Linked DNA regions of Arabidopsis thaliana. The protein of the gene in region 1 interacts with the protein of each later gene in a pairwise test. Each region holds a gene or a part of one and is shown in the gene's direction. Other genes may lie near its edges.

The links. The genes of interacting proteins can lie anywhere in the genome.
Region 2: the proteins of MYB69 (region 1) and AT2G42660 interact in a two-hybrid assay, tested with the Arabidopsis thaliana proteins (one large-scale study listed by BioGRID).

The regions. Positions count from the first base shown.
Region 1 is NC_003075.7:16,095,090-16,098,848, reverse strand, and holds MYB69 (myb domain protein 69), read left to right. Parts: upstream 1-2,074; 5' UTR 2,075-2,245; coding exon 2,246-2,405; intron 2,406-2,510; coding exon 2,511-3,103; 3' UTR 3,104-3,457; downstream 3,458-3,759. Other genes in the region: ABCI10 (ABC transporter family protein), read left to right, coding at 1-68, 312-524.
Region 2 is NC_003071.7:17,766,621-17,770,379, reverse strand, and holds AT2G42660 (Homeodomain-like superfamily protein), read left to right. Parts: upstream 1-2,000; 5' UTR 2,001-2,121; coding exon 2,122-2,344; intron 2,345-2,429; coding exon 2,430-2,506; intron 2,507-2,586; coding exon 2,587-2,626; intron 2,627-2,703; coding exon 2,704-2,818; intron 2,819-2,911; coding exon 2,912-3,041; intron 3,042-3,132; coding exon 3,133-3,315; 3' UTR 3,316-3,330; downstream 3,331-3,759. Other genes in the region: AT2G42650 (Ribosomal protein L1p/L10e family), read right to left, coding at 3,732-3,759.

The DNA.
Region 1 (3,759 bases):
CTTTAGCTGAAGCGTGCAAAGTGCTATTGTTGGATGAGCTCACAACTTTCCTAGATGAGTCTGACCAGGTAAGGTTTGATTAATTCTAACAACGTGCTAATGAAACACAACTAGTATTGCAAGGGAACCCTTCCATAACTGGAATATTTCAACATCGACATATGATTGTGTTATAGTAGACATTGGAAGTGAGTAACTTGCACAATTGATATAGTATCTAGAAGAAATGAAATGAATTTGACAGATATGTTATGACGTATACGCCTTTTTTAATCAGTGCATATTGTTTTCTCGGGGTTTTTGTTCTGCAGATGGGTGTGATCAAAGCTGTAAAAGATCTGATAAATGCAAAGAAAGGAGATGTGACGGCATTATGGGTGACACATAGGTTAGAGGAGCTCAAGTATGCGGATGGAGCTGTGTATATGGAGAACGGTAGAGTGGTCAGACATGGTGATGCAGCCACCATCTCAGATTTCATTAAAGCCAAACAATCGTCTTACATTGATCAAATTGGTTCTTAACTTCCTTTGCTAAGGATTTTTTTCTTTATTACCTCTATATATATATAGAGGTAATGAAAAGTCGATTATTTGCTAATAATTTGTGAAAAATTGTGATAATATAGCTCTGCAGAGGGTAATGTAGTTAGGAGGGCTCGAACTAGAGTTGAATACGAGTAAACCTCTGTTTTCCCAAAGGGAAAATAAAGAATGTTTGGAGAAAACTCCAGGTTGTAAGTACGTCCCCAAGTATTGATTAGTATAATTAAATTATAGAAAACAAGAAAAAGTTACGAGAGAAAGTTTTGTGCATGTGTGACTATGTATATGAATAATATACATAAAAAAAGTCTAAATTATGTGTTGTGTGCCCCCTATTTTGACTAATACCATTTACTTCGTCAAAGTGATATACCAAAACCAAACTTGTCTTTAATCATGCTAGAATTTCACCACGGGCATCGCTAGTAACCTGTATTACCAAGATGTAATAAATCTTGAGAAAACAAAACAGATTCTAGAACAAAAGGCAGAGTGGATTCGTCACCGAAGCTGAGAAAGGTTACTTCACTTTTATGTGAATATCACAAGGCTTGAGGCCTTACTTAGATGAGTCGACCTACATAAATAAAGAAGATACATTGTGATAATTTTTACCAAAAAAAAGAGACATTTTGATAACTATATTGTAACAGAAATCTATTTGTTTTCTTATAATAACAAAAATTCACATCTTTGTCTCATATTCTCTCTAGGTCCGAGATCATGTTATACTATATAATTCTTATGATTGATGGTTAACACATTAGATTTATACTCAAATTCTGGTATATATCATTCAAACAATACCACCTAACATGTTAAATTAATCGCATAATTCTGTGTTAACAGAAATATTAAATTATGCTTAACTTGTAAAGGTATATCTATATCACATATACCATGTTTATTTACAGCAACCAATGACGATGACTGCTATATTTAGAAGACTTGTCGTTTGTTTTTTATTCGATTTACAACTACTTGCATCTTTGAAAGTACCAACAGTAAAGTGGAATACAACAAAATAAACATGTTTTGGAAAATAATAAGTATAATTGTCGGAAAATAAACAAAACATAATAAGAATGATCGTCAATGCAGGTTGGTCGTGATCAAATCTAGCTAGCTGTTGAAGTTCAGAAGCATCAAGATCATTAGCTTCTTTTTGAAAATGATTAGTATAACCTCGTAAGATGTAGGTAGTAAGATGCATATATATATATATACGCGACGACTATAAATATAAAGTACGTACTTTGGGACTAGCTAGAGCAATTCAAAACGGTATTTATTTACAAACACGTATATATAGATTATAAAAAGAACTACATAACTTAAGTACGTAGAGGCTCATGTTGGTATTAGTATTATGTATATCTCTATGAAACAAGAACTAGTACAAAGAAGTAGTATAAGTTTGTTCTTAAAAAAGAGTTTCTGTTGAGATGGGTATAATAATTATATTATATAAAAAGGAGAGGGTGTCTTGTAAAAAGAAGAAAAGTGACTTATCATCTATAACCCTAGAGGAGAGAACCAAGACCAACCCTCTCTTTTTTATTCCTTTTTGTTTTTCTTCCTCTTTGTATTAATTTTCATCCTTGTTATCATTTCACCTTAGACTAATCTATCTTATACCTCTTTCTTCAACAATTGCTAATTGGTTTGATATAGGTACGGTGGAGATAGAGATAGCATCCATGGAGATGTCTAGAGGAAGCAACAGTTTTGACAATAAGAAGCCTAGTTGCCAAAGAGGTCACTGGAGACCTGTTGAAGATGACAATCTCCGGCAACTCGTTGAACAATACGGTCCCAAGAACTGGAATTTTATTGCTCAACATCTCTATGGAAGATCAGGTAATCAATATATATATATTGATATTTCTTTATATATATGTATCTAATCATATTACTTAAATCTATGTGTTTTATAAATAATTGAGCGTCAATATGGAATCATAGGGAAAAGCTGTAGATTAAGATGGTACAACCAACTTGATCCAAACATCACCAAGAAACCCTTCACCGAGGAGGAAGAAGAGAGACTGCTTAAAGCTCATCGGATCCAAGGGAATCGTTGGGCCTCCATAGCCCGACTGTTCCCCGGGAGGACCGACAACGCTGTCAAAAACCATTTTCATGTCATCATGGCTAGACGCAAACGGGAAAACTTCTCTTCCACGGCTACTTCTACGTTCAACCAAACTTGGCATACTGTTTTGAGCCCTAGTTCTAGTCTTACAAGGCTAAATAGATCCCATTTCGGGCTATGGAGGTATCGAAAGGATAAGAGTTGCGGTCTCTGGCCTTACTCTTTTGTTTCACCACCTACGAATGGTCAATTTGGATCTTCATCTGTCTCTAACGTACACCACGAAATTTATCTTGAGAGGAGAAAGTCGAAAGAGTTGGTGGATCCTCAGAATTACACATTTCATGCAGCCACACCAGATCATAAGATGACTTCAAATGAAGATGGACCATCCATGGGAGATGATGGTGAGAAGAACGATGTTACTTTCATTGATTTTCTTGGTGTTGGATTAGCTTCTTAGGTTATAACATCACAAGTCAAAGCTTTTAAGGGTTTCTATCATTAGGGTTAGGCATCATTTTCAGCCTTTTGCTTCCTTAAACTCTCATATGGATCTTCTATCAATTATAACTCTCATTTCCTATATCATTCAAATATATACATATCCATAACATGTAGGTGTGTATCTATACGTGTATCACATGCACTTAATTAAGATTGGTGAATATACATACACATATAAGTTTGTCTATATCATCAGTATATTGCATGCATGGTTTATTGTTTGATACAGAATCATGTAACAAATACGTATACACAAAGATATGCTCAAAGAAAGATATGCTAACTAACTTTTCTAAGTGTATTTAGACCCAAAAAAAAAAAAAAAACGGTGTATTCCACAATTGTTATCTAAATGGGAGCTTGTATCAGAAATCACATTTCATATGATATTTTTAGTGCGTTAGTTACATTAGACCATCACTAGACAAGTACTTGCATGGTGTTGGCCAAAGAGACGGACGATAAATCATTTTCTCGGTGCTTGTTTTACGGACTTGCTGAAAACCAACGTATATAATATTTGTTTTGGTGCGGACCGTGCGGTCATCTATTTCCAATGTCCAATTAGCTATACAAAAAACGACGGCAGATAACTCAAATTTTCATTCTAAG
Region 2 (3,759 bases), on another chromosome or scaffold:
AGAAGTAGAACTCGACAAAAGATTCTCTTAACCAAAGAAATTCATGTCGTTTAAAGAAATTCAAGAACTATTGAAACAATTTGAAATTATATATTCCATAAAAAGAGAGCATGGGAAATGGAGGAATTGTGAATGAAGTGTCGGTACGTAAACAGGTTAGGACAAAACAAAGTTTCCTCATCTTTCTTAGTGCCCACATGAGCCTCTACGATTCCTTCTCTCCCATCAATGCTCTCTTCAATCTTAGTTAATTACTTCGAATGTTTGTCCTATCTTCTCTTCTCTCTCATCTCCTATCTTTCTTTCTCTCTCTATCTGTCCATAACCCTAGATTTGAAGATCGAGGGCGATCATGGTAAAAGACTTCATAGAAATTCTATAACATTCAAGCTGTGTTTATATGAATACGAGCGTTGAAATTTGATCCCATCGCGTTTTCATATATGTTCCAAAATGCTTGTATAGATATGTGTGTGCATAGACATAGAGTGTCGGAAATTTGCATCGGGACGATTTATAATTAATTTGGTGTAGGGTTTGAGGTCCTTATTAATTTCACATAAAACTTGGTTCAATTTTGTAAAAAGTGTTTGTACTTATTTTTCTTGATTTGAAACTTATTTTGAGAATTTATGATTAACGACAGCTTATCTATGTTTACAAATACTAATTCAACTCACAAGATGACAATAAAGACAAAGATTGCACTCTAGAAAGAAAGTTGCTTTGCCTAATTTGAACAATTAAAAAATTGCATTCAAAGATAATATACCCGTAATTATTTATTAGTTACCTCTCTCGAATTATATACTGATTGGTAAGTTGGTAAGCCCTACAAAAACATATAGTTAGCCAATTCTCGAAGAGAAACCAAATACTAATATATGGAGGTGTGTAACCCAATGCCCATTGAAAAGGGTCACCAATAATAAAACCAAAAAGATAAAGACAACTTCTGTTTTGTACATACGTGAACTCAAGAATCTTTGGGAATCACATCCTTAACCATTTGACAAAACTCCCTTCTCTCTTAAGTTTTTATTTAAATTCTGTTTTCAAACGTTGGGATTGAAGACCGTCATGTATTTAACCTAAGTATATGAGAAACATGAATATAGATCAATAGCCATCATGATAAAACCAAATGCGTAGAAACGTAATTCATTCCACCACATAGTAATCGGTTGAGAGGTAGACAATAGTTTGTACCTTTTGTCTATCAGGGTTCGAATCAATCGGCTTAGATCGATAGTTCTCATGTTCCGTTTGAGTTCCCCAATGCTAATCTGATTTTTATTTTTTTAAGTTGTTTTGGAGACACTCAAAAACGTGGTTTAATATGACAAAAGGGTAAAGCGTAGTCTCCGGCAAAGGTCAACTTAATTGGAAATTATTAAAGAGAAAATTGTTAGAAAAACAAGAGTGGTTTGGTCGGATTGAAATGTTTGATACATCATTCACAAAACAACAATTCTAATGACACAAAATATTCGACTGCCAATTGTGTATACATATAGACTGGACTATTTGAACCAATATGCTTGATATCAAATATATGATTAATTAACCAATTTAAATAGCCTAGCCATTGTCACATGATATATATCAAAGGCACGTTAGGTAAACAGAAGATGTTTTAAGAAATGGTATAGTTTTTGGAATCTGAATTCATATTCAAATTCACCATATTTAAATCTTGTTTAAAGAAAGATATTATTTTTAAGAAGTAAAGGAGATAAGTTTACATGTCATTGTCACTAAAAGAACAAACGGATATTTTTCTGGTATGTTAACAAAAATGAAGCAAAACCTAATAACTAATGTGATTTCACCAAACGGAAGATTCCAACACACTTTTCCATTAAAAAAAAACATACAATTATACGTAAACATGCATGACATAGATAAGAATTTTATATATCTATATAATTATATACTATAGTTTACGACAAATAAGACTATATTATATACTTATAAGTGTATATATATGATTATAGCTAGTATTATTGAAGCCAACGCCGAAATTATCATAGAGATTTAACCTCTCTCATGGGTTTTTTTTTGTTTGTTTTTGAGTAATTGATCTCGAGAGCTAGCTAAAGACACTCTCGCCGGAGAGACATGGCCGGGAGATCTTCGCCGGGAAAATGCTCCACGTGGCTTGACCTGAACAGAGAAGAAACAGTGGAGAAGAACAATGAAGAAGAGTCATCAGTGGAAGACGAAGACCAAATCACGAATAACGTTAGACAGTATATTCGGTCCAACATGCCTCGGCTTCGTTGGACGCCTGATCTTCATCTCTCCTTCGTTCGTGCTGTCCAACGACTAGGCGGTCCAGACAGTAGGATTCTTGTTCTCTCTCTCCACGTCTCTTTCTCTCTTTCTCTCTCTCAGCTTTGTAATGTAATTGTTGTATGATTTTAAAGGAGCGACGCCGAAATTGGTTCTTGAGATGATGAATCTAAAAGGATTGAGTATTGCACATGTCAAGAGTCATTTACAGGTAATCTTCATCGTCTGTTATTCTAAGATTATCTCAGTTTTGTTCATCTTTTTCAATGTTTTCATGTTTCTGATTTCAAGATGTATCGAAGTAAGAAGCTCGAGCCGTCTTCTCGCCCTGGTAAGTTAGTTTTGATCCGCAGACATTTACCATTCCTTCACTGGGTTTCATAATTGATGGAAATGACTTTTGAACAGGATTTGGAGCTTTCATGAGTGGACAAAGAAGCTATTTGATGGACATGATCGACTCTCGATGTATCCCTCATAGCGATTTAAGACATGCCTATAACTCTAAAACCGTTCCTTCGAGGTCATACAAAGAAACAAGTTCCAGTTACTAAAATGTTTCACATTTGTATATCCGATCCGACCAAGGAAGTTAAAATTGCATTCTTTTCTGTAGGGTACTCAATCAAGACGCGGTCGTTACAAATCTTGGAGGTAACTTTCTTATGCGACCTTCGAGCTGGTTTAGCGGGTTATGCAGAAATGACCGAGACAGCACAGAGAACAAGACTCTGCCTCTACTCGAGGTAACTACCTACTTTCGTTTTAAGAGTTATAGAGGAACAGTTTTGTTAAAAACCGAGGAAGGTACTGTAATCTTGGTGAAATCTTATGCAGATTAGGAAGAAGAACAATGAGAAAAGAGTCCGAGATGAAGAAGTATCATCAGTCAAACGATTGAAATCAATGTCCGGAGGTGGGATACAGTTGCCTGAGTTTGGAAATTGCAGGCAAAAACCAACAGATGATATCAACACAATGCTCTCGCTCTCTCTGTTGTCGACATCATCAGAACCGTAACCAACATACTAGAGAGATGAAGTTTAACTTTAAAAGAGATTCAAGAGTAGAGACTTTTGTTTTCCTTAGCCGTTTCATGGGATGAGTACTTAGCCAGGATCTGGATCAGGCTTGAGTCAGATCCTGCAAGTACTTATCCTTAGCGGTTTCTCTGCATTCAATACAACACCAATTCTGGAATGCAACAAAACACATGTAATAATATGTTTCCTCGTCAAAACCACCAAATCAACTACATGGCAAGTCACTAGTTTGATGAAATAGTAAACGATAATAAAAGTCCTAAATATATAAGAATCATGATGATGATACCATAATAAGACAAAGTCATAATCAGTATCCAAAAAAATCACTCAAGCAGAAAGAATAGAATACTTAGTTATAACGACATTAATATAAAATCTTCTTTTCTTGGTTCACCTCCTCTTAGTCTTAGCTTTGAAT